7 linked regions of the Macaca mulatta genome follow. The protein of the gene in region 7 interacts with the protein of the main gene of each other region in a biochemical or structural test. Links are inferred from orthologs where the notes say so. Each region holds a gene or a part of one and is shown on either strand. Other genes may lie near its edges.

The links.
Region 1: the proteins of NOTCH1 (region 7) and SNW1 form a complex in vitro, tested with the Homo sapiens proteins (3 studies listed by BioGRID). The link is inferred for Macaca mulatta from reciprocal best matches to the Homo sapiens genes NOTCH1 and SNW1.
Region 2: the proteins of NOTCH1 (region 7) and RBPJ form a complex in vitro, tested with the Homo sapiens proteins (5 studies listed by BioGRID and IntAct, with this or other methods). The link is inferred for Macaca mulatta from reciprocal best matches to the Homo sapiens genes NOTCH1 and RBPJ.
Region 3: the proteins of NOTCH1 (region 7) and USP10 form a complex in vitro, tested with the Homo sapiens proteins (2 studies listed by BioGRID, with this or other methods). The link is inferred for Macaca mulatta from reciprocal best matches to the Homo sapiens genes NOTCH1 and USP10.
Region 4: the proteins of NOTCH1 (region 7) and NFKB1 form a complex in vitro, tested with the Homo sapiens proteins (2 studies listed by BioGRID). The link is inferred for Macaca mulatta from reciprocal best matches to the Homo sapiens genes NOTCH1 and NFKB1.
Region 5: the proteins of NOTCH1 (region 7) and JAG1 form a complex in vitro, tested with the Homo sapiens proteins (3 studies listed by BioGRID and IntAct, with this or other methods). The link is inferred for Macaca mulatta from reciprocal best matches to the Homo sapiens genes NOTCH1 and JAG1.
Region 6: the proteins of NOTCH1 (region 7) and FBXW7 form a complex in vitro, tested with the Homo sapiens proteins (2 studies listed by BioGRID and IntAct, with this or other methods). The link is inferred for Macaca mulatta from reciprocal best matches to the Homo sapiens genes NOTCH1 and FBXW7.

The regions. Positions count from the first base shown.
Region 1 is NC_133412.1:150,979,795-150,983,733, reverse strand, and holds the start of SNW1 (SNW domain-containing protein 1), read left to right. Parts: upstream 1-1,139; 5' UTR 1,140-1,168; coding exon 1,169-1,182; intron 1,183-3,939. UniProt on the Homo sapiens protein: Involved in pre-mRNA splicing as component of the spliceosome. As a component of the minor spliceosome, involved in the splicing of U12-type introns in pre-mRNAs.
Region 2 is NC_133410.1:25,461,973-25,465,472, forward strand, and holds part of RBPJ (recombining binding protein suppressor of hairless), read left to right. Parts: intron 1-2,022; coding exon 2,023-2,160; intron 2,161-2,311; coding exon 2,312-2,424; intron 2,425-3,500. UniProt on the Homo sapiens protein: Transcriptional regulator that plays a central role in Notch signaling, a signaling pathway involved in cell-cell communication that regulates a broad spectrum of cell-fate determinations.
Region 3 is NC_133425.1:80,065,905-80,069,920, reverse strand, and holds the start of USP10 (ubiquitin carboxyl-terminal hydrolase 10), read right to left. Parts: upstream 2,801-4,016; 5' UTR 2,710-2,800; coding exon of another isoform or gene 2,689-2,709; intron 1-2,688. UniProt on the Homo sapiens protein: Hydrolase that can remove conjugated ubiquitin from target proteins such as p53/TP53, RPS2/us5, RPS3/us3, RPS10/eS10, BECN1, SNX3 and CFTR.
Region 4 is NC_133410.1:111,853,814-111,858,098, reverse strand, and holds the start of NFKB1 (nuclear factor NF-kappa-B p105 subunit), read right to left. Parts: upstream 2,801-4,285; 5' UTR 2,679-2,800; exon of another isoform or gene 2,519-2,678; coding exon of another isoform or gene 2,499-2,518; intron 1-2,498.
Region 5 is NC_133415.1:73,373,568-73,377,067, reverse strand, and holds part of JAG1 (protein jagged-1), read right to left. Parts: intron 3,125-3,500; coding exon 3,011-3,124; intron 2,596-3,010; coding exon 2,549-2,595; intron 2,210-2,548; coding exon 2,036-2,209; intron 1,603-2,035; coding exon 1,452-1,602; intron 600-1,451; coding exon 435-599; intron 1-434. UniProt on the Homo sapiens protein: Ligand for multiple Notch receptors and involved in the mediation of Notch signaling. May be involved in cell-fate decisions during hematopoiesis. Seems to be involved in early and late stages of mammalian cardiovascular development.
Region 6 is NC_133410.1:160,920,560-160,923,252, forward strand, and holds the end of FBXW7 (F-box/WD repeat-containing protein 7), read right to left. Parts: intron 2,399-2,693; coding exon 2,130-2,398; 3' UTR 501-2,129; downstream 1-500. UniProt on the Homo sapiens protein: Substrate recognition component of a SCF (SKP1-CUL1-F-box protein) E3 ubiquitin-protein ligase complex which mediates the ubiquitination and subsequent proteasomal degradation of target proteins.
Region 7 is NC_133420.1:5,990,607-5,994,106, forward strand, and holds part of NOTCH1 (neurogenic locus notch homolog protein 1), read left to right. Parts: intron 1-348; coding exon 349-550; intron 551-1,035; coding exon 1,036-1,189; intron 1,190-1,281; coding exon 1,282-1,466; intron 1,467-1,984; coding exon 1,985-2,117; intron 2,118-2,447; coding exon 2,448-2,705; intron 2,706-2,781; coding exon 2,782-2,894; intron 2,895-3,500. UniProt on the Homo sapiens protein: Functions as a receptor for membrane-bound ligands Jagged-1 (JAG1), Jagged-2 (JAG2) and Delta-1 (DLL1) to regulate cell-fate determination.

The sequences.
Region 1 (3,939 bases), on a different chromosome or scaffold from region 7:
GAGTGCAGTGGCGTGATCTCGGCTCACTGCAACCTCCATCTCCCGATTCACACGATTCTCCTGCCTCAGCCTCCCGAGTAGCCGGGACTACAGGAGCACACCACCACACCCAGATAATTTTTGTATTTTTAGTAGAGACAGAGTTTCACCATGTTGCCCAGGCTAGTGTGGAACCCCTGAGCTCAGACAATCCGACCGCCCCGGCTTCCCAAAGTGCTAGGATTACAGGTGTGAGCTACCGCGCCCGGCCAAGAGTTGATCTCAAAACAGGGAGATTATCCAGGTAAGCCTGATCTAATCACACGAGCCCTTTAAAAGCAGAGCATTTTTCTCCAACGGTGGCAGAAGAGGAGACAGAAAGATGTGCTTCAGCTGGCCCGGGAGCAAGCAAACATCCATGTTGTGAACTACCAATAAATAGGGTTCATGTGGGAAGGAGTTGAGAGTGATCCCTAGGAGCTGAGGGTGGCCACCACTAGCAGCACACAACAAAACAGGGAAGTCGATCCCACAACCGCCAGGAACTGATTTCTGCAAACAAGAATGAGTTAGAAGATGGATTTTTCTCCAGAGCCTCCTATGAGATTTCAGCCTTGTCATACCCTGGGCAGGGAACCCAGACGCTCGGTAAATTACCAAGGATTACAAAATATCTCCCCAGGAGATTGTTTTGGGTGGTAGGAGGATACGGTTTAAAGAAAAGTTTTGAGTATGAATGTTTTCAGAGTCCAAGAACTCTCCATTAGCCAGTCTCACTATTACCTATCGTTTTAAACTCCCTATCACCCTTTCACTTACAGAGCTGTCCCGGGGAAGCTTTTGTATTTTGTACCCTTTCTGGGGGAATGGGGCTGAGTAAGGAACGTAATAAAGCGGCCTAAACAGCATCTCCCTCTATCTTTGATATTTTGCCTAGGGAACGCCCTATCATGTCGCATATAAGCGATCGAGTTATGTATTTGTTGCTAGCTGAAGAGATTATTCCTTGATAACCGCTTGGTCCGGTCAGAATAGAAACGAATGGTACTCCCGTTCAAAGAACTACAAATCCCAGAAGGCCTTTCGGCCAGAGCGCCTGCGCATCGCGCGCTCCTTCCTTTCCGCTCCTCATCATCTGGAAAGACCCGCCCCGCGGTGCTGTCGCTCGCGCTGGAAGAAGCGGAAGAAGATGGCGCTCACCAGGTGGGTTGTTGATTGGGGTCCTCGATACGGAAGGGTCTGGGAGTACCAATCTTTTTCATTTCTCTTCCCATACTCTTGGGGCGGTGACCTGACCCGGGGCACAGAATGACGTGGGCCAAAACTACGGCTACGTCCTCCCGCTGGCCGCCGCTACGACTAGGCCTAGTCGAAGCTGGGGTCTTTCCGCGGTTTCCCGGGTTTAGTTCACCCCTCACCGAGGCCGAAAGCCGCGGCGTGGCCTCAGACACTGAAGACTGCATTTTTCGCTTAAGCATCTTGCGGGGAGCGAATAACGCTCCCTCAGGTCCGCGGCTCGGGCGAACAAGAAGGGGTTGGGGACGGTAGTGGCTTATTTGGGCGGAGTGAAGCGCACGGGCTGCGACTGCGCGGCTTTCCGGCCGTTTGCCTGTGTCCCGAAACAAGGATTCCTGAAAAAAGGGACCCGGAGCTGAACAGAGATTTAAATGAGCCACACTAGTGGCAGCTGTCTGCTGATATGCGCCACTGCTCCGCACTTTAACTTTGGAGCTTAGAATTTCTTCCGTAGATAGAACCACCTCAGAGTTTTGCTGTTTTCGGTTACCTTAGTAACTGTCTGTAAAGTGCTCCTTGCCTTTAAGAAAAAGATGCTTTCCAGTGGGAGAGTCCGAGAAGTTACGCTACCCCTGCTAGTCCCCAACGTTGCTGCCCCACCTTAAGTGGGAAAACTTTACATGCGAACTGAACAGGAAAAGTCTAGTGTTCAGGAAGGTTGTAGAGAAAGTAGTCCTTTTAGGACATCAACTTGAGCCCTCTTAACACCCTTCATTCTCCTCACGCATGTTTTTTTGTTTTTTTCTGGCTGATGACAGTATGAATCCAAAAAATTACTTTGGGAATTACTGTTGGTGCTTTGCTCTGTCCTGGGGATTGTGTACACAGAAGAAAATCTGTCTTTGGCAACAGGGAAGATGGGGTACAAGGTATACAGACATAAAACAATCACAGAACACAAAATGCACATTTGTGTTATACTAACCTTAGTGCAAAAAGAATTAGATGGAATAAGTTGTGTGGGCTGGAGAGTTTTCTTTCCCCTCTCCTTTCTAAAAATTTTTTTGCCTTTTTTTTTAAAAAACTATTTTTTTGAGATGGAGTCTTGCTATGTTGGCCAGGTTGGTCTTTAACTCTTGGCCTCAAGCAGTCCTCCTGTTTCGGCCTCCAAAAGTGCCAGGCGTGAGCCACCATGCCCGGCATCTGAATTTTTTTTTAATAAAAAGCTAGAAATGGGGTGTCACTGCGTTGGCCAGGGTGGTCTTCAACTCCTGGCCTCCATCAGTCTTCTCACCTAGGCTTCCCAAACTGCTGGGATTGCAGGCATGAGCTACCATGCCCAGCCAAGAGTTTTTTCTTTAGTAAATGTTACAGGCAGCAAACATTTGAGTACCCTCCAGGTGTGAGACACTGTGTCATAGACTAGTAAAGTTATGAGGGGAGACTTCGTGGAAAAGGTGGAATTTGAAATGGACACACAGGAAAAATTTCTAGAAATGTGATGGGTATTTTTTTATTTTATTTTTTGATGCAGGGTCTCACTCTTGCCCAGGCTGGAGTGCAGTGACCCAATCACAGCCCACTGCATCTTCAACCTCCCAAGGCTCAGGTGATCCTCCTGCCTCAGAGTAGCTGGGACTATAGACGCTTGCCTTGATGCCCAGTTAATTTTTGGTTTTTTAGTAGAGGTGGGGTTTTGCCATGTTGCCCAGCCTGTTCTTGAACTGGGCTTAAGTGATCCACCCATCTCAGCCACCACATCGTGTGGCCTGTCATGGGTATTGTGTGCTTAAAATTGCAGTGGCAGAATGCAGTATTCAAATGACCAGTCTTGGGGACTCCAGAGCTTTCCATACCTACCATCTGGGGTTCCTCAGTATTCTTTGTAACATCCTTTAAACCAGTAAACGCATTTCCCTGAGTTCTGTGAGCTACCCTAGCAAATTAGTTGAACCTGAGGATGAGGTCATGGGAACCCTGGTTTGTAGTCAGTTGGCCGGTGACCTGGACCTACTATTGGCATCTGAAGTAAGGGCAGTCTTGAGGGACTGAGCCCTCGACCTGTGACATCTGACACTATCTCCAGGTAGATAACATCAAAAATGAATTGAATTAGAGGACACTTGACTGGTGTCCAGTAAACAATTGATAGCTTGCTTGATACGTGGGGAAAAACCATCATGTATCTGGTATCAGAAGTGTTGTGTGTTGTTGATTGTTGAGTGAAATAATAGGAGAAACTGAATTTGTTTTAATTTTATACTCTATCCACATGGAGCTTACATTCTACTGGGATAGAAAGACTATGAGTAAAATCATAATGCAATTTCAGGTAATACACGCTAGGAATAAAAGAGGGTTAGAGAGTGACTCAAAGTTTGGGGTGAAGTGGCTATTTTGGGTAAGATGGTCAGAAAACAGCTCTAGAGAGAGGTAACTGAGCAGAGACATGAGTGCTAAGATGCAAGCTGTTGAAAGATCTGGGGCTACTCTAGGCATACTGCCTATGGGATAGCCCTGCTCCTCAAGGAGCAGTCACAGAAGAAGACATCTGGAGAAGAGTTTTCTATAAAAGCATACGAAAATTTGTTCTGTGTTTTCGTTTTTGTTTTTTTGGTTATGTTTTGTTTTGTTTTGTTTTGTTTTGTTTTTTGAGGCAGAGTCTCACTCTCACCCAGGCTGGAGTGCAGTGGAGCAATCTCAGCTCACTGCAAACTCCACCTC
Region 2 (3,500 bases), on a different chromosome or scaffold from region 7:
ATCCATTTCATTAAATGCTGCAAAGAGGTAATATTCTAATTTTTTAAATTCATAACTTCTGTATTTGTTAGCTGGAGTTTTTTCTACAAAGAGGAACTTTGCCATATCAGCTATTTGCTTCAATTGTAGTATGTAATGAAAAGGTAGGATTAGTTGCTTGTTTACTCATTTGCAGAACAATGATAACATTCCTTGAAAGAGACCAGTGGGGTTTTAGAGTTTTTGTTTTGTTTGCTTTCTTTTCATTTTGTTTTATTATGAGCTCATGGGTTTTTTTTTTTTTTTTTTTTTTTGTATTGGTTATATTTTAGTCCACTCAGTACACTAATATCACTTAGTTTTTATTATGGAAAAATTTCAAACACACTCAAGTAGACAGAGTTGCATCATAAAATGAAACCTCTTATGTTCATTCTCTAACTTCAACAGTGATCTTAAATTCAACCAACCTTATCTTCATCTATACCTGTACTCCAGGCCCACTTTCTTCTGCCCCTATTTTAGTTTGATGGATATCCAATCAATGTTCAAATGTAAAATGGTCTAAAGTGTTATTTTAAAAATCAGAGTGCTTGAATCAAAATTCAAATCTGCCACATAGTACAGTTTATACTGTGACATGTCCTTGAGTATAATCTATGAACACCCCCCCACCCCCCCAACCCCCGCGCCACACACACACCAACTCTTGCAATTTATTTAAGTAAGTTGAGACATTTGGCCACTAGAGATTTCCATATACTGGATTTTGCTAATTTCATTTATTTGGTGTAGTTTAATGTATTTTCTGTAAATTGGCAGAGTCAAAAAGAAATAGAGCGTGGGCACTAGTTGGAAAGACAGATTTCATTCAGTACTATTGCAACAGGGGAAAATATAACCAAATTCCATTTCAGAATACAACAAAGACAAGTGGGGATGAAGCAGAGTGAGAGGGTCAATGGATGGAAACTTACTAAAAGGAGACATCAAAGGTAGAAGGTTTCTTTCTGACCTGACTTAGGATTTGTGCTAAAGGCAGGCCAAGATGATCATAGATCCAGAGTGGGGGATAATTTAGGAGGATTCTTGCTACAGCTGAGCTAAGCAGACTGATGACAGGGCTCAAGGACAAATACTAGTTGAATGCTCGGAGCAGCCTGCTTAAAAGTTTGGTCAAGGAGAGAATCTTTAGTCTAGAATCGTGATCAGATTTAAGTTTGTTGTCCTTTGTTTCTTGTTTTCTTGCTGGAAAGCAAGACCTACTCCTGTACTAGGAGGTATATTATGTTTGTATTCAGGCTATTTGCATTTCAAATTACATGGTTTTATATAACTGCTTTAACTTTGTGTTTGTACTGAATATTAGTTTCTTGATGACAGAGAACATATTTCACTTTCAGAATATTTTTCTGCTTACATAGATTTATTTTCAAGAAATTTCATATGGTACTTTAAGGTATTTAGAAGAAAGTAGAATTTTCTAAAATCACAGTATGCAGAGGCATTTACCATCAACTCTGATAAACATCCTTCTAGTCCCTTTTCTATGCATGTATTCTGTGTAATTGGATGAAAACTCATATTAAAAATGTATACATTTGCCTAGTGGAACCACAGCGTACAGAGTATTTTATAGTCTGCTTTTCCATTCAGTGATATTCCAGGAAAATATTTTCTTACCAGTATATTTAGATACACATCCTTTAAATAGATCATCATTTAAATTTCTACGGTCTAACATTCATTATTTTAAAAGTAAGTTTTTCTGTAATAATCAGCACCACATTAAACATACTGTGTAGCTTTCACTGTAAAATTATTTTTATGGACATTTGATATCATTAGCTTGACATTATTAGTAACAGTTACCTTGACTTCTTTTTTTGGTGTCATCTATACTGTCTTGGAAAGTGAAAATATTTGTCAAACTGTTAAATGATAAGAAAGAATAATTATACACTGCCAAGCAGAATTTCCTCTTTTGCTCCCTCCCCACCTTTTGCTCCAATCACATAAATAAGAGCTCTTTTTTCTTTGCAGTATGCATTGCCTCAGGAACAAAGGTGGCTCTGTTTAATCGACTACGATCCCAGACAGTTAGTACCAGATACTTGCATGTAGAAGGAGGTAATTTTCATGCCAGTTCACAGCAGTGGGGAGCATTTTTTATTCATCTCTGTGAGTATAAAAATGTGCAATGAATGTTTTTAGTGTGAAATCGTTAAATTCTTTTGATGCGATATATGGATATATTAAGTTTTGTCATTTGCCTAATCATAAAATGAATTCAAAAAGGTAACAATTTGATTTCTTTTTCCACCTACTGTAGTGGATGATGATGAATCAGAAGGAGAAGAATTCACAGTCCGAGATGGCTACATCCATTATGGACAAACAGTCAAACTTGTGTGCTCAGTTACTGGCATGGCACTACCAAGATTGGTATGGCTCTACTTTTGCTTTAGTGATAATGTGAAGTAAAAATTAATTCTTTAAACAGGAAAGTCACAACATTCAAATGGAAAAACACACCTCAATTTTATGCTTTTTAATTTTAAAAGATGTGTTAGTAATCAGAGCTGTTTATAATTGACAGTTATACTGTACCTTATTTCAGAAATGCTTTAAGGTAATTAGCCAGTTTTTACAAGTACATTCTTAATGATTTTTTCTTAAATGATTTCCAATATATTTTGGTGGCAATTTCCTTTTTAGCTGTTTATCTGAAGATGTTCAGTAGAGGGCACTATAAATTACATTTGTTTTCTTTACTAATTCAGATAATGTATTCATTTTTTTGTGGTACCTGCCATATCCCAATGTAGGACCAAGTTTTCATAAAGAAGAAATTCATATTTCTTTTAAAATATAAGCATAATTTTTGTTAGCTTACTGTCTCACAAGAAGATAGATTTATTAAAACTTAAATAAAATTGGTGTTTCTAACTTTGGGAGAGGAGCATAGGATTTAGGGCTTTTGTTCAATAGAAGACATTGAAACTCAGCCACGCATGGTGGCTCATACCTGCAATCCCAGCACTTCAACAGGTGAAGGCAGGAGAAGGAGAGGTGAGTAGCCCTGGCATCACTTGAGCTCAGGAGTTCGAGACTAGCCCTGGCAACATGGTCAGACCTTGTCTTTACCCCGCGCCGCCCCCCCCCACCCAAAAAAAAAATTTAGCCAGGCGTGGTGGTGCACACCTGTAGTCTCAAGCGGAAGTGGGAGGATCACTTGAGCTTGGGAGGTCCTGGCTACAGTGAGCAGTGATCGTACCACTGGACTTCCTGGGCAACAGAGTGAGATCCTATCTCAACAACCACTAAAAAGGAGATCTTAAACTGTAAAAACTGCTTTTGTTAGTTAAATGAAAACAAAAGTGCTCTATAGTGCCACCCCCTCCCAATTTTCCCTCTCCTTTTCTGAAACAATACAATTTATTTATATTCAAGATGAAGGGGATTTATGAGTAAGTTTCATTCAAGGTCAAACTGAAGAGGTTGGGTGAGTAGAAGAACAT
Region 3 (4,016 bases), on a different chromosome or scaffold from region 7:
TTTTTTGAGACAGAGTTTTGCTCTTGTTGCCCAAGCTGCAGTGCAATGGCGCGATCTCAGCTCACTGCAACCTCCACCTTCCGGGTTCAAGCGATTCTCCTCCCTCAGCCTCCGAGTAGCTGGGATTATAGGCACATGCCACCATGCCCCGCTAATTTTGTATTTTTAGTAGAGACGGGATTTCTCCATGTTGGTCAGGCTGGTCTCCAGCTCAGACTCAGGTGATTCACCCGCCTCAGCCTCCCAAAGTGCTGGAATTACAGGTGTGAGCCACCGCGCCCCGCCCCGGACAAGTCAAATTTAAAATAAGACCTTTAATTTGCAGTTGTTATTCCCAACAGAAACAAGTAATATGCATATCATAGCGCTTAACACCTGATAAACAATCAGTATTTGCTGAATGAAAGAATGGCCATTAAGGCTGCAAGACTCTTAGAACAGTAGGCAAACAAATAAAACAAATTTATTAAAACGCTCAGAATGACTCGAGCAGGAACCAGTAACTAAATCCTGTCATACATGATTCCATTACTTGTTTCCATTACTATTTTTTTTATTGAAAATTATTAGAAATCGGCCAGGGGCAGTGGCTCACACCTATAATCCCAGCACTTCGGGAGGCCGAGGCGGGTGGATCACCTGAGGTCAGGAGTTTGAGACCAGCCTGATCAACATGGTGAAACGCCTCTCTAATAAAAATACAAAAAATTAGCCGGGCGTGGTGGCGGGCGCCTGTAACCCCAGCTACTTGGTAGGCTGAGGCAGAAGAATCGCTTGAACCTCGGAGGCAGAGGTTGCAGTGGGCCAAGATGGCGCCACTGCACTCCAGCCTAGGCAACAAGAGCAAAATTCCATCTCAAAAAAAAAAAAGAAAAGAAAATTATGAGAAATCAAACTATTTCCTTTGCTACTTTCTCCATGCTAGAACTTAAAAGCATTTAAATCACACTTTAAAAGAATAAACCCAAAGTGTTGCTAACATTTCTGTTCGCCAACTTTTGCTACTCCAATTTTCTAAAGATGTATATAACGACGATTTAGACTGTTGTATAAAATGTAAATACTGGGACAACGAATTTACAATTAAGTTTACATATTATCCATCCCCATTAATTAACATTTCAATCAACCTTTAATTGTGATTGATGCTTATTAAATAAAGGAAGTGAGTTATGCCTAAAGATGCTTTCTTCATGTCAAAATCACAAGGAATATTACACATTAATTCATAATGAGACTTATACTTGTTCATACCAATTTAAATAGGCTAATTAGTATTTAAGTTGAGGAAAAGCAAATATCAAATCTTTTTTTGTTTAAAATAGAAAGGTATAAACAAAGCTAAATACACCAAATCTCTTAAAATCTTTGTGTTATACATTTGTAAAAACTATTCAACTGCTGATGCCTTCTTTCGTGCAAAGACCTATACTACTTACAAAAGTAAATGTACAAAGGAACAAAACGTTAAAGGGGGAAGTTCTGATGCAAACTACACTACAGCTAATTTAAAACAATTGAAGCTTGTCGTAACATCTAATTTTCAAAAAAGTTTTCGCATTTTAGATTCCACAACACGCATTCATTACAATAGTTACGAAAATCATGTTTCAAAAGAGGTCTAGTCAGATTGACTTCATCTGCAGAACGGCAACAAAACCCAACTGCTTATGAAGGGTTATGATTTTACCCGCCACCAGTTTTCCGAATGGCTACTTTGTTTCATTTCCCCATATTTAATACAAATACACAATGAGATGGTTAAAAAGTGTGCAACAATTTATAGGGACCAGATGTCAACAAATTAGCAGTCTAAAGCAAGACTGACAAATAATAACATCACGCCGATTTTTGTCCAGAATAATTACAATGGCGGAGGGGAGACATGGGGTGGGAGAAGGGGTGGGAGAGGTGAATAAGAGCTTAACTCTACACGCACATCTCCCAAAAAGAGCTCTTTCTTTCCACTACGGGATTATTGTAAAGGGCCCCTAAGCTTTAGATAGTGTTCAGGCAGGGTGCGTTAGTGTCAGCCTGGCTGGGATGGATTCGTGCAAGGGATGTCACTCAAATGCAAGTGAAAGTACGGTCCTTGCGACTTATTTCGAGTTTTCTTTGCAACAGTAGCCTAACGCCGCTACTCAGCGACTTCTATCTAAAAACCAGAAAATCAGCAGCCCCCGCGTCATCAATCAAGCTGAAAAAGGAAGCTTTGGGGGCAAAGGGGCAACAGGGCACCCCTAAATCTTTGAGGCTCGCTCTGGGTAGAGGCAGCAACCTGAGCTGCTCTGGGGCTCCTGCCGCTCCAGGGGACTCCCGGAACCCCCGGGCCGCCTCCCTGGGCCGGCGCGGCGGGGAGGGCCCCACTCCACACCCCGGGCTCGCCCCGCGGTCCAGCCCCAGGGAGGTTAACCCCTTCGGCGCCCCCCACGCCCTCCCCAGGCGGGGACCGGAGCCCCAGTCCCTCTGCCTCTCCGGGACTAGGGGGCCTGGGTGGCTCAGGGGGACGAAGGCGCGACGGGCGCGGAGGCGGCGGGTGGCTCCGGCCTAGGCCCGGGCAGCGTGTCCCGGCGCCCTCCCCCACTCCCACACGCTCGCTCCGGGCAGGGCGCGGGCGCCCGCCCGCTGCGGCGTCCGCCCGCCCCGGGCTGGGGCCCCTTCCGGCCGAAGGCGCGGACCGGCGGCTACCTGCGGGCTGTGGAGGGCCATGGCTGCCCGTTTCAATGGGACTCGGCGTTCCTCCGGCTGCTCACGCTGCTTCCCCCGCCGCCGCCATCTTCTCGCCCGCACATACACACTCGCATCGGCCGCCGCGCCTGCGCACTGGCCGCGCGCCGCGGGGCGCGGGGAGGCCGGCGTGCTGCTGCGCCTGCGCGGCCGACAGGTGGGCGTGCGTCTGCCGGGCCGCGGACCTTCCCTGCCCCGCCTGGAACCGGCCGGACTCTGAGCCCCGCGACCCTCGGGCGGAAGATGCCCGGCGGCTGCATTCTAAGAGCCCGCCGGGTCCTGCCTGCGAAGCCGGAAGGGGAGGCAGCAGGCAGGTGGAGGTGGCAACGCCGAGGCGCCGGCGGGCCCCGGCTCCTCACCTACTGGCACCTGGGCCCCCGGAGCTCGGGAGCCGCGGCCTTTGGTCGGCCGGGGGCCCACGAGCCGCCCTCGGCGTCCCTGGGCCCGGGCCTCGGCAGTGTTCGCATTAGATCTCCGAGGAGGGTCAGGTTTATGAAGATCCCATTGCCGCCCATTCATTCATTCGTTCACTCTTCATTCACTCCCTAAGGCCTGCCTGGGCGCCTGGGCCACGCCTTTTGCTAGGCATTAGGGGAAAAAAGGAAAACAGAAACAAAACGTAGGGCATAAAAGCACGCGCAAAGTGACATGAGGCCTGGCAAGTAGCAAGCACTCAGCAAGTGCTACGTGTTGCACACGTGCGTGCGTGTGCACGGCAAACCAGCCTTGGGGGTCGTTGGTCCATTCATTATTGAGAAGCAGGCGCCCCTGCCTGACTGCACCGTTTTCCAGCCAGTGGGCCCACCCTCGGGTTTTGGCCCCTTTTCTAGCTGTGATTTCAGACAAGCGACTTCACTTCACTAAGCGTTGGTCTCCTCACCTGTGAATAACACAAATATGTCGTCAAGCGTAAGATTTCTGTGAAGTTCAAATTAGATTAATGTGAGCACACTGGCCAAGAGAACAGTCAATAAAAATTGGCTACTGGGATTGTTACTAATAACCACTATCATTGCTTTCATTTGTTCAACAAACACCTACAGAGAGTCTGCTCTTGCTAGACCTTACGCTAAGCAGAGGAGATTAACAGGAAGATCCATTCCCACGTTACATAAAATAGGGAGCCTGATCTCTTCATAAGTGGGATGCCATGAAACATATAAGTGGGCCAGGCGCGGTGGCTCACGCCTGGAATCCCACACATTGGGAGGCCGAGGCGGGCGGATCACAGTGAAGAGTTGGAGACCAGTCTGGCCAATATGATGAAACCCCATCTGTACTAAAAATAC
Region 4 (4,285 bases), on a different chromosome or scaffold from region 7:
AAACCAAGAGACCAACCGAATAAAACAAACTTCCTACTAAAAGTAAAAAAGCTAATGAGAAATTTTGCATAGCCATTCATTCATAGACATCCATTCCTGTTAATGTGATTTCTGATCAATCTGTGGACTAGAAGCGCATAATCTGAGTATTTACTCTATTGGTTATACAACAGTACTGTGCATTTCCAGATACACTTCCTACTGCAGTCAATTCTATGCTCAGAAGAGCACATCTATTAAGACCTGAAGATGAAAAAGATGACATTTTTGAGGACTTCATGAAAAATCCATGCAGCAACTCAGACACAATTATTTTATTGTTTGAAAATATCGACTACTTTTCTTACTTCTCCCAAGTTCAAACCAATTGAAGGTTATGAAGTAACCACTTCCCCCCAGAAGCCAGAACTTTCACCTCTTCTGAAGAGAGAAATACCTCTCATAAATTAGGTAAAAATAAGGTCTTGCTGATGGAATGATAGTCCAACATTCATGTAGCTGCCAATTCCCTATCTAGACCTCGTATCTACCACAATGAGCAATCCCTGAAAGTCAAGGTAGTAACTTACTTAATCAATTATCTGCAAGTCTAAAAGTGTAGCTAAAACAACCTACATAAATAATTAGTTTCTCAGACTACTTCAATTTGTTTCCAGGAACAGTAACAACAGAAATGTAAGGAATATGATCACTAAATCTAAAATTCTTCCTATTTCAAGATTAATTGTGCTTTAATCAACTCAGTCATCACAGATCTTGTTTAAGAGGTAGAGTAAAAAGGAAGTGCAAAGATCAAAGCAATGCTTACAAAGGGGAAGGACTATTTTTGTATGTATACCCCAGTATTTACTATCTGGGTTTGAAAAACAGGGGCATTTACTCAGCACAAGTGAGTGCCAACGACGAATGTAAGAATGAAATTTCAGAAAAAAAGATAAAAGATTTTCAAATCACCACCAACCCCAAAACGATTATACTATTTTCCTTAAAAAGTGTCAAAGAGTTTAGAAGTGGTTTGCTTTTCACTGCAAGCAGCTTTTCGGTTCCAGTATTAAATGTACATAAAACGTGTGTTCCTTTGTGTTCAAGTTTGTCCAGTAGGTTGCAGACCAGGAAGACATTTTATCTAAACAAGCAGGGGAGGGCATTTAGGAATTGCAGGTGTATCAATATGGATGAATAATCTCAGATTCCAAGTCTCCATTCATCGTATATGTTCTTTTCATTTCAGCAATTCAATTAAATCATGAACGTAAAATTCTACAGGAAATAAATCTTTTCGTTTCCTGTCTTCCCAAGTTTATAAACTGAAAAAAGTACACTGCTTCAAATTTAAATACATACATTTAAACACGTAATTCCCATAGTGCCTCAAGCAGTAAAAGGATTCATCTCTAGAAAGCACAATATTAAAATCAGAAAAACAACATACTTCAATTTTAAGTTTCCCTTTAAAGTTTTAACAAACACGAATGCAGTTTAAACTGCTTGACAATATTCAGTTGTGGGATTCTGCTAGAAGAAAATTATTGAACATCTTGACCCTAACCTTTAGTATTTACTAAAGATCACCAGTGTGTAGAATATTTTGATGCCAGAGTTATTAAATGTTCTAGTAATACCATAAGCATTTTTTCAGATTATAAGCTTTATAACAAAATCTTTGAGTTAAATATGGTTATTTCATAAACTGTAATGCTGAAAACCTCTACTTAACAAAGTCCATGAAAATGTCTCAAATCTTGATAATTAAATCCTGTATCATTAAGTCCCATTTCAGTTTCAGGATAGACCAGTAAGTCAGGGCAAACATTCCCTGGTGTCTGTTTTTAAGGACCATAGAAAAACTTACATTTAGGATAGGCTTTGTTTTTACATTATTTTTGTTTCAGAAGTCATGCATAATACATGGTGGCACTGTCCAAGAATTTTACATAATCAAGTCTAAAAAGTGCTCTAAGTATCCAACTAGGTAATTTATTTTCTCTCTCAAATGCCAGGCCCCAGAGGATCAGAATCAAGTCCTATAGCAGGTGACTATATCGTGTGTGTGTGTGTGTGTGTGTGTGTGTGTGTGTGTGTGTGTGTGTACGGAGGGGTGGGGGGAGGGAGAGAAAAAGAGACAGAGAGAGGGCCAGGCTTCTTTTAGAAGTAGGAGAGGGATGAATAGACTCTCCTATTCAATTCTGGGGAGCTGGAGAGGGCTTTCCCTGCCAGGAGGACTGACAAGCACTTCTTCTTTCATTTCATGGAACGCCCTTAGGTGAAATCTGGTTCTGCACTGCACCAACCACCTTCCCTCTCTCCTCCGCGCCGCAGCGCACCTCAACCTTCTCACTATCCCCCAGCTGGGGCTGGGGTTGGGGGATTTTAAAAGTTTGTAAGAGTTCCCCTCCGATTCGCGTTCCCACCCCGCGGAGGGACGTGAAGAGAAATCAGCGCCGGGCAGCCACGGCCCTTCGGCCGACTAGCCCCTGCGAGGTCCGGATGTGCCTTACCCCGCTGTCGCCAATCCCATGTGCCTCTCACTACTGTCAACCTCCTCCCACGGTCTAGCCCAGCGGTTAGCGCAGGAATGAGGAAGTCCGAGTGGGGCTGGAGGGGGTGCGGAGAGCTGGATGGCGGGACTCGAGCCACGCGTCCCCTGCCGGGCCCCCACTCGCCCGAGTTTGGCTTACCCTGGTGGCGAGTCCGCGTTCGGCCTCCTGGCGCGGGTCTCTCCCTCCTGGGCGGCGCGGGCCTGCGGGCTGGAGAGGGAAGAGGCGGTGGCCGGCCGGAGCCCGAGCGGGCCCGGGTGCGGGTCGGGGCGAGCGGTAGCGCGGCGGGGCCGGGCCAGGCCAGTCAGCGCCGCGCCATGTCCGCAGCGCGGGCGGAGGGAAGCGCAGGGCGCGCGGTGGCCGGGCGGCGGCGCCGCCTTACTGGCCGGGCGGCTGCGGCCTCGGCGGCGCTGGGCTCCGGGAGCGGGGCCGGCGGCTGCGTGCAGGCCGAGGGCGGCGGCGGCTGGCGGCCCGACCGACGGGAAGGGCAGGGGAAGCTGTCAGCGCGTCGCCGGGCCGCTCCGGTGGCGAAACCTCCTCTTCCTGCCCCGGCTAGCTGGTGCACTTCTCTCTCTTTCTCTCTCGCTCACTCTCTCACTTCCTGGCTGGAAATTCCCACTGACGTCGAGAGAGCATACAGACAGACGGACACACGCGCGCACGCAGCGGGGGCGGGAGGTGGGGTCGCTGCCGGGGGTGGGGGAAGCCCGCACTTTTGGGGGCCGTGCGCCCCCGGCCCGGCCTGGTTGCTCGGTTGGGCTCCCGCCCCTCGGGGCCGCTTCGGGGCGCCGGGCGAGGGGCGCGCGTTAGGCGGCCTGGACGCCGGGATCCCTGGCGTGACTCTGGCTTCCTAGCCGGGCGCTCCCAAATCCCGAGGGCTGGAGCCGGTAGGGACGCCCCCAGGAAGCGCCAGCCGGGCCCAGTGGTCCGGGAACACAGGCGGCGCGGAGGCGGCGGCGGTGCCGCTGATAGAGTCATGCGGTCCATAGCCCCTAAGGGCAGGCCCGAGCAGCTGGAGGGTCGGCGTGGATCCAAGCATGCCAGATATAAAAATAAAGCTCATCTGTATATTCCATTTAAATGTGTCTCAGTTACATTCAGATCTCTTCACAGATTAAACTAGAATTTCGTTATCATAACCGACTTGTGTCCAGTAAAGTATAACCCTCTACTGGTTTTTGGTGCGGTCTTAAATATCCTCGTTATAGGGCAGTTACTCAATATTCATCTACAAGGCATTGTTAGGCCTTTATGATAATTACTGTGGATAGAATTATAGTGATGGTGGTAGCAATGGTTTTGGTTTACAGCTCATAAAATACTGATCTGGCAGAGGGGAGTTTTCTTTTTCTCTGAAGAGACCGCTACTGGCACCCATTGACAGGCCTGCCAGTGACCACCGTTCACTGGCATCTGAGCTGCTTTAGTGCTGGGCGCTGTACTAGGCACAGGCTGGGGATACCTTGGGGTGCATTACCTCCCCACATAAGAAATCTTGAGCTGAAACATATATTTTAGAGCTCATTGTTTCACTAGTGGGTCGAGTGACAACTGAAAGCTTAGCTTTAAAACATCGGTAATCAGGTCCTTACCAGGCAATATTGCAGTGGCATTCAGATTCCTTATAGCATGTTCATCCTAGTCGTTTTGTGCCCACTCTCCGTCCTCCTCCTCCACTAGGTTATAAAAACCTTCTTGGTGGAGTGTTTTTCTGGCAAAAACAAAAAACAAAACAAAACAAACAAAAA
Region 5 (3,500 bases), on a different chromosome or scaffold from region 7:
CCTTGCTGTTTCTGATTAAAACAATTTCAACACTGCGGGGTGCAGTGGCTCACACCTGTAATCCCAGCACTTTGGGAGGCCGAGTGGGCAGGGTGGATCATCTGAGGTTGGGAGTTCAAGACCAGCCTGACCAATATGGGGAAACCCCATCTCTACTAAAAATACAAAATTAGCTGGGCATGGTGGCACATGCCTGTAATCCCAGCAACTGAGGAAGGCTGAGGCAGGCAGGAGAATTGCTTGAACCTGGGAGGCCAAGGTTGCAGTGAGCCAAGATGGCGCCACTGCACTCTAGCCTGGGCAAGAGCAGCGAAATTTGGTCTCAAAAAAAAAAAGAAAAAAGAAAAAACTTTCAACACCAATGATCCCAAGGCGGGGCAGGGGCAGGGGCAGACCGGGGAGCACTGGTCCCTTCCCGGATGAGGGAGTCTTACTTTCATGGCAGTATGTTCCCGTGAAGCCTTTGTTACAGTCACAGGTGAATTTGCCTCCCGACTGACTCTTGCACTTCCCGTGGGGACCACAGACATTCGAGGAAATATACCGCACCCCTTCAGGTGTGTCGTTGGAAGCCATGGCCACTGTGCAACTGTCAATCACTAGAAGATAGGCTTGGGATCAGATCATAGTCATGCACCCACAGACGCAGCATTCCTACGCCAAGGGCCTGGGCCAAGCCCACTTTCCTGGAGACAGGGACCCTCTGGCTAATGAGACACACCCCAGGGAAGCCAAGATACTGGCAACATGCCACATCACATTATGATGTGGCAAAGTCGAGACTCCAGGCAAAGAGTTTTAAAGCATTTTCTCCCTCCACAACCAGGAAAACCCACATGTTTGCAGGTCCCCTTCATGCTACTTTTGACATCTACCCAATTTGGTAAACACTTGCTAAGGAAAAAGGACCTGCTTTATTCACTTCCTTTTTGACCTTAAGCAAGGCTCAAGGACAATCTTATAGAAGCTTTAAATGTTGTGCTACCTAATACAGCAGCCACCGGCCACATGTGGCTATTTACATTTAAATGAACTAAAATGAAATAAAATCAGTTTCTAGTTGCGCTAGTCACAGTCTACATTGCCTGGGGCTCCCACACCTGACCGTGCAGATACAGAACATTCCCCCAGTCTGCCGTTGCAGGAAGTTCTGTTGACAGTGTTGTTCTCAGGCATTTGCCTCAGCGTTGCACATCAGCCCACCCCAGAACAGGAATGCTAAATGGATTTCACATTCTCTCCCCTGGGCTACTTGTAGACATGGCTCTCCCACTGGCAGGCCTGAATAGATTGTTTCCACGTGTTGCGGCCCGCTACACAGACAGGATCATTTCACTGTAGCGGTCCTCCTCACCAATACATTACTTCTCAAGTGTAGCAAGGGGCAGTGGTAGTAAGTAGGGACAAAAGGAGAAAGTGGAGACAGCCAGGTCCCAGGAGAAGGGAGGTACCTTCACAGGGGGTCGTGCGGCAGTGGTCTTTTAGGTGTGAGCAGTTCTTGCCCTCATAGTCCTCGGGGCACTTGCAGAAATAGTCGCTGGCACGGTTGTAGCACTGGGCACCGTTCTGGCAGGGATTAGGCTCACAATAATCGATGTCCAGCTGCAAATATCAGGAACAGGGAAAAGGGGGAGGGATCAGGGTAAAACAAAGGTGTCATGATAACTTCTCTGGGGCAGCAGGCACTGGAATCTGACAGTTCCTTCTGTTTCTATTAAAGTCACCCTGTAAGATACATGTCCATGCCCTAGGGACTGCCAATGTCCATATTTGAAACAATGGAGCAGAGTGGGAGAGGGAGCCCAAGAGGGGGTGGAGGGAACCAAATAGAACACAAAGACGAAGACACTAAGAAGAAAATAATTCGTCAATATCTCCTTCCACCAGCATTTGTCTAGCAGAGACTCATCAATAGGATGTTAATAGATGTCAGGAAATTCCAGACATAAGAGCTGAGGGAGGAGTAAAGGGGAAGCGGAGGAGGCAGCGGCTCTGCTGTAAAAACTTGGCCATCTGAGGTTTTGCCACCACTCACCTGACAGAGGTTTCCAGAGAAACCAGTGGGACACAGACACTGGAATCTGTTGATTTCATTCTGACAGTGACCCCCATTCAAACAGGGGTTGCTGGCACATTCATCGATGTCTCTCTCACAATGATCGCCTGCATAGCCAGGTGGACAGATACAGCGATAACCATTAACCAAATCCTGGAAGAGGAGAAGGGGAGAGAGAGACACGTGCTTTTTTTTCTATGTATTCCACAAACACAGGGCTTCAGTGGTTTAGCATGACTGTTGCGGTTTAGCTGGTTCACTGAAATAGCCAAATGCCAAACCTCTGAAAACGGTTAGAGGAATTTCTACGTGCATGCCTTCAAAATGACTCCCACGAGGCTGGGGTAATATAAGCCCTAGTGAAACTTCCGAGAGGCTCGTTTTTCACCCGAGTTTTTAAATCTCACAGGGACAGAGCTCTCCCAGTGTCACACAAATCTAAAGATTTGTTGTCAATTGTCAAAGTTTTGATTTAAGCAAAGATTTACATACCCGACAGGAGGCGTCATTCTGACACTGGCCAAGGCAGTCATTAATATCTAAAAAATAAATAAGTCATCATTTTAAAGAGGTAATTTACAGTGAAATTGGGCTTAATTGAAAAGCCTTCTCAGCTCAGGATAGATAAGTTTCAAATCAGATTTCCTGTGTGCTTCCCGTGAGATAAGGTTATTACGCTGGGTGGGGACCCTCCCTAATTCTTCCAGAATGAGGGAGTGAAACTTCACATCATTGTTTCAGCCACATTATCAGAATATGGCTGGTTTTAGCAGCTAAATGAGCCTGATAAAGTGTGTGTGTTCACTGCTGCACTGACCACTCCCTCTCAAAAAAACATTCCCACTCTAAGGTTTTCCTTCTACTGCTCGAGGCGTAGAACTGGAGCCTCAACACAGACCAGCAAGTCGGCTACCCAAGTTCCATGAAAATCAAAATGGAAACAAAGTCACTCACTTATGTCACAATTCTGACCCATCCAGCCAGGAAGACAGTCGCAGTAGTAGCTGGCAATGAGATTCTTACAGGATTTGGCGTTTACACAAGGTTTGGCCTCACATTCATTTGCATCTGAAAGGAGATGGGGATGAGCATGAGAAATGAAGTTCAACCCGCATCTCCCCCACTTTGTAAAAAAGAAAAGAACAGGCCAGAGTTTGTCGGAGACATGAGACCTTTTAATAAGCTAGCTAAATAAAAGATACTAGAGGTTCCCTCTATTTTAAGCATCTGATCCCTCTCCCTAGCCATTATCCAATAAGAACGCTAATTGATAACTTTCCAGCTGCTAGTTAACCAGCCCCCAACAGAAGAGCAGAAAGCCACCAGGCATTTCTGTGCAAAACCCAGCGCAGCCTAGTTGCTGGGATTTAAATGTGGCAAAAAGAATGCAGACAGCTCATTCCTCATGAGATCATCCCCGTTTGGAACCCAGCTGAACACTCCT
Region 6 (2,693 bases), on a different chromosome or scaffold from region 7:
GCTAGTTCTATGATTCGACAAATTGCCTAACCAGTCTCAGCTGCAGGTTTTTGCTCGTCTTTAAAACGGGAGATAATAGTGCCTACTTCTCAGGGATAGTGGGAGCTTGAGAGAGAATGAACAGAAAGTATCGAGGGTAAGCACTTAATATGTGGTCAAAATTTCAAAATGAATTTGTTATTTATAAGGCTTCTAGTTGTAATTATCACAAAAGTTTTGTTGATTCTTTGATGGAACCAGATTTCATATTTATATACCCCAATGCAATCTACAGAGATGAGCACAGTGGAGTGTCCTCCTTCATAGTCTAGGAGAGAAGTAAGATTTGCAGTTGCAGCACATTATCCTTACTTTTGCTGTATAAAACAGGTCTGAAGTATTGATTTCTATGCCACACAGCAGGAGATGCAAAGAAACCAAGATTTTGCTGATTTAAATATTATAGACAAATCCTAAATACTTATAATGAAGGATTATTACTTCAGTGGAAGAAACAGGCATACTAACATGAAAAAACACATTTTATTGCACTTAAGTTATAAGAAAATAAAATTTCTAAGTGAATCAAACCATAGACACAATCCCTTTAAAGGTTGTTTTCCTCCATCATGTCAGGTTGTTACATAACTAAAATTAACCAACTTGAATCTGATTGCTTTAAATCAGACTATAAATAAAACAAACAAAAAAAATAAACAGAAGGAGGAAAAAAAGATCGCCTAGGATACAGTGTTAAACCACTTTCACAGTTCAGCTTGAGTTGTGGCTCTTGGAGAATGAGGCAAACCATTTGACTTTTTCATTCATTTTGTTTGTTTGCATGTGACGCCTTTACTACAAAAACTGAATAGTTTCTGCTTTGTCAGTTACTCAGAGCAATAAAACTGTAACAGTTGTTTTCCCAAATACTGTAAAACACTAAGACTGACCAGCGACTTTATTTTAATTTTGTGTTTTATATATTTTTAAAATATTTTGTCAGTTTTACGATGTACGTTCATCCATTCACCACAGCCCTCAAAAAGAAAAGTTTCTCCACAGAACAGGCAAGTAATAGCTCTGTTCCAAGGAATGTGTTTTAAATTTTGCCCAGATAAAAGAAAATAAGCTTTGCACACACTCTCAATTATTTACTTGCAGGCAAACTTCACTCTTTATTATCTGAAACTCTTCCATTCTCAGCCTCTTAGAGGCACAGATGGCTCAAGTTTCAGTGGCAAAAAGTCTTTTTTCCGTAACCAAACTAGAGCAAATTTGGAATTCAGTCTGGGACTAAAACGTCACAGCAGAAAAAAAATAAAAAAAAATAATTTGCTTTTTTCTTTCTTTCATTTAGCAGCATAAATAAGTTTGGCCACTGGGAGTACAGTACAGGGGTGGGACAACAATCCCATATTTGAAGACCTACTTCTAGCACCAGCATCAAGAATTAAATCCATCTCAGGACTCACAGAACCCAGGACAACTTGCCACCTTTGAGCAACATATGCATTGAAGAATGTATATGGAAGCAACAGTAAATAGATAAACAGAGGCTAATACTGTGATTGATTGACATTGGCAATGGTTGGCAAAAAAAAAAAAAAAAAAAAGGTTTTCATGATAACTGTACAAAAACAATTCACAGTAATTTTTTTAAGCTTTTTCACTCCAGAAAAATGACTTTTTGTTGCAGATGCTCTCTAATTAGAAAGTCAACCAGTACTTGTTTTGATGTTATTGCAGTTCCTTTCTAGGTGTCTAGTTGTCAGTGGTAAAAGAACAGGCTAGCAGAATCTGTAATGATGTTTCAGCATTAACACTGCCCAATGAGCACTGGAGAAGAAAATAAAGAAATAATTGCACCTGGTTTGATTTAGAAAGTCTCATTTTGCAAAGCTGCCCTCAGTCAAAAGTGAAGCCTTTTATGTGATGAGACAGCAGACGCCTCTCTTGTCAGTTATGGTTTGTCATCTCTTCTTCTTTTCCTTCTTAGTCTGTAGGTCTTTTCAATCTGTTGCCCCAAGCCAACATCCTGCACCACTGAGAACAAGGGATTTTTTTCTTTTTCTTTTCTTTTTTCTTTTTGCAGGGGGAAGGGCAGGGAGTATATCGTCTACACAATTGGACAAATTCATCTTTTCTGCTCTTCACTTCATGTCCACATCAAAGTCCAGCACCAGCAGCTTGGTTTCTTCAGTCCCATTCCGACTCCCAACTGCACACACCAGCTTTGTGTTTGAGGCTCTGATCCGCCACACGACTCCCCCACTCCCCCCACTCTCCAATGTGACTAGGTTTCGAATAAATTCACCCGTTTTCAAGTCCCATAGTTTTACAGTTCCATCATCTGAGCTGGTAATTACAAAGTTCTTGTTGAACTGTAAACAGGTCACAGCACTCTGATGCTTGTTGGGACCTAGACAAAAACCAAAAGAATTTAATTACTGGTTAGAAATAATGGCTATGGGTTAGTTACATTATAATTTGTAGACTTCTACTTTACAACATACAATAAATGCAACATTTGAAATGATACATATTTAGAAACCTATGTCCTCAGTATTTTAGGATCAGCAGGGATATAAGAAAATCTGGTAGCAATTTGTAACTGAAACATTAACTTTCAAGAGGCCTGTCTTCCAAGACACTTGGTTAGCTACCAGACAAATGTCTTATTTTCTGGCTGTGTGAACGACAGCATGCCTTGGTGA
Region 7 (3,500 bases):
AACGTCAGTCTCATCCCTGATTTCTGACGTTAATTACCTCCCGTATTACCAGGGCAGGTTCTGGTTTCTCCCTCATTCTTACTTTAACCACCCTATGCCTGTGCGTTTGGTAAAGCCACTCTCGACCTGACTTATAAAGAAGGCAGGAAATGGAGGTGTGACATGGCGTGAGAGCCGGGCCCCGGGCTCTCGCTGGCTTCCCAGGATCAGCCAGGCTGCCCTGGGCCTGTTCTGGCCATCAGGCCCCTTAGGGCTGAGCGGAAGGGGAGGTGCTGGCGAGGTAGTGTCTGCTGGAGCGGGGACCAGCAATGTCCTCCTCTCAGCCCCTGCCTGTCCACCCCCCTGCAGCTCCTGCTTCAATGGTGGCACCTGCGTGGACGGAATCAACTCGTTCACCTGCCTGTGTCCACCTGGCTTCACGGGCAGCTACTGCCAGCACGATGTCAACGAGTGTGACTCACAGCCCTGCCTGCATGGCGGCACCTGTCAGGACGGCTGCGGCTCCTACAGGTGCACCTGCCCCCAGGGCTACACCGGCCCCAACTGCCAGGTGAGTGCGCCAGCCACAGAGGTGCCCGAGGGAGGGGCTCTGGGTGGGTGCCTGCCTGCAGGGGGCGGGAATGGTTACCCCCAGGTCCCACCGTGTCGGCTCAGGGTCACCCCTACACTCCTGGGCAGAGGGCTTCGGGGATCTGAGCAGCCAGTGAAGGAATCTGATGCGGGAGCAGCAGGCATCTTCATTTCAGTCTGGGTTTCTGGAGCCAGGGCAGGAGCTCAGGAATTGGGGGGATTGAGGAAAGACGTTCCTTCTAGCAAAGGCCGAGGGTGGTCTGGACCTGCTGAGGGCCCTGAGGGAGACCCAGCCCAGGCTGTTTTCCATGTGGGGGCGGTGGGGAGTCCAGGGACGGCAGTTTCCACTTCTGTAGAATGGGTTGAGGCCCAGGTTGGAGTAGGCCCCTTGGTGGATGTGCGTTCTGAGCTACTGGGGAAATGGCCAGGGGGGTGGGCACACGGCTGACCCCAGCCTGTCCCTAGAACCTCGTGCACTGGTGTGACTCCTCGCCCTGCAAGAATGGTGGCAAATGCTGGCAGACCCACACCCAGTACCGCTGCGAGTGCCCCAGTGGCTGGACCGGCCTTTACTGTGATGTGCCCAGCGTGTCCTGTGAGGTGGCTGCGCAGCGACAAGGTAACCCGCTGTGCCCACCCGGCTCGGGTCCCAGCCCGCCAAGGTCCTCCGTGGGCCTGGGCCTCACCTGTCCCCCACCCCAACCCCCACAGGCGTTGATGTTGCCCGGCTGTGCCAGCATGGAGGGCTCTGCGTGGATGCGGGCAACACGCACCACTGCCGTTGCCAGGCAGGCTACACGGGCAGCTACTGTGAGGACCTGGTGGACGAGTGCTCACCCAGCCCCTGCCAGAACGGGGCCACCTGCACAGACTACCTGGGCGGCTACTCCTGCAAGGTGGGGGCCCATCCTAGGGTGAGGGTTGTGGCCGACACGAGTGTTGCCACACACTGGGCCCTGACTGGGAGCTGGCACAGTGGAGAAAACTGAACCTGATAGGCCCATGCACCATTCAGTCTCATTACGGGAGGGCTGGGGTAATCAGGGTAGACCACCTGGAAGAGGCGGCCTGTGGAGAGCCCGAAGGAGGGTGAATATTGCTGAGAAGTGGGATGGGGTTTTCCCTTCCTCTAGATTGTGTCTGGGCTTGGCCAACACCTACCCTGAGACCCTCACCTCTATCCTACGGGACGGAGTCCACCCACCCCCAACAGGCAGTGACTCCGGTCACCGAGGCCCCGCCAGGGTCTGTTGGGCTGGGTCTCCCTCCAGGTCTGACAGGAGCGAGGGGCCTGTGGCTTCGCTGGACCTGAGGGCAGCTCACGTGGCCCTGTCAGCCCTCATGGTGGGGTGGGGGAACGCTGCATCCTGGCACCAACTGAGCCGCAGGGCCCCTTGTTCTGTTGCCTGCACAGTGCGTGGCCGGCTACCACGGGGTGAACTGCTCTGAGGAGATTGATGAGTGCCTGTCCCACCCCTGCCAGAACGGGGGCACCTGCCTTGACCTCCCCAACACCTACAAGTGCTCCTGCCCACGGGGCACACAGGGTAAGGGCCACCGCACGGAGTGCTTATCGGGCATCCATGGCCAGGGCAGGGGTAGGGCAGGCACCCCGTGATCGGCCCGAGGCATCCAGGAACCAGCCAGAAACTCCCAGTTTCCCACGTGAGGCCAAGGCCAACGCAGAGCTGCCTGGGGAAAGGGCCCAGAGTGGGGGGCCCAGCGGGAAGGGCGTCTCCACGGCACCCTCTGCACCTGGCTCACCCGAGCGTCCGTGCAGCCCCAGACCTGAGCGCTTGTTGTCTGGGATGGACACGCGGCACGGCAGGGCTGGCACAGCAGTGAGTTCGGGCCGCTGATGGCACCTGGCCCCACAGGTGTGCACTGTGAGATCAACGTGGACGACTGCAACCCCCCTGTTGACCCCGTGTCCCGGAGCCCCAAGTGCTTCAACAACGGCACCTGCGTGGACCAGGTGGGCGGCTACAGCTGTACCTGCCCGCCGGGCTTCGTAGGTGAGCGCTGCGAGGGGGATGTCAACGAGTGCCTCTCCAATCCCTGCGACGCCCGCGGCACCCAGAACTGCGTGCAGCGCGTCAACGACTTCCACTGCGAGTGCCGTGCCGGTCACACTGGTGGGTGCCGTGCCCGGGCGGGTGGGGCTTGCAGGGCAGCAGGGTGAGCCTCTCACTGCCCTGCTCTCACCCCCAGGGCGCCGCTGCGAGTCAGTCATCAACGGCTGTAAGGGCAAGCCCTGTAAGAATGGGGGCACCTGTGCCGTGGCCTCCAACACCGCCCGTGGGTTCATCTGCAAGTGCCCTGCGGTAGGTGCAGGGGTGCAGGGAGGTGGGGGCCCTCCAGGGGAGACACCTGGGAAGGTCCACCTGAGGGCCTTGGGGCACAGACTGGGCAGCGATCCTCACAGCCTTCATCTTCCTAATCACCCTGACATCATTTTTTTTTAGTTTCAATAAATGATTTTAGAGACATTTTAGATTTATAGAAAAATGGAGTGGAAAGTAGATGCCCTGGGGTGGCTCTCCCCTGCACGCAGTTCTCCTGATTAGCAGCTTGCTATTTCACTCCAGATTTCACTGATACATTGTTACCAACACCAGCCCTTCCTGTAGCTGGGGCTTGCCCTTGGCTTTGTGGTTGTAGGTTTGGGCTGAGGTATGACACGCCTGCCCACCCTCGCAGGATTATGGCAGAGAGTCCCTGCCCTAAAGTCCTCAGCGCTCCACCAGTGTACCCCTTCCTCCATCTCCCGACCCCCTGGCACCCCCTAATTTTTCTCTGTCGATAGAATGTTTGTAAAGGGTTTTGCTGCTGGGGACAAGGCTGTAGGCTGCCTCCCAGGTTAGGGGAGAGCGGTGGAACTGCTGGCCGGGGGCTGGGCGCGAGGTGGCGGGCGGTGGGGGACGGCCCAC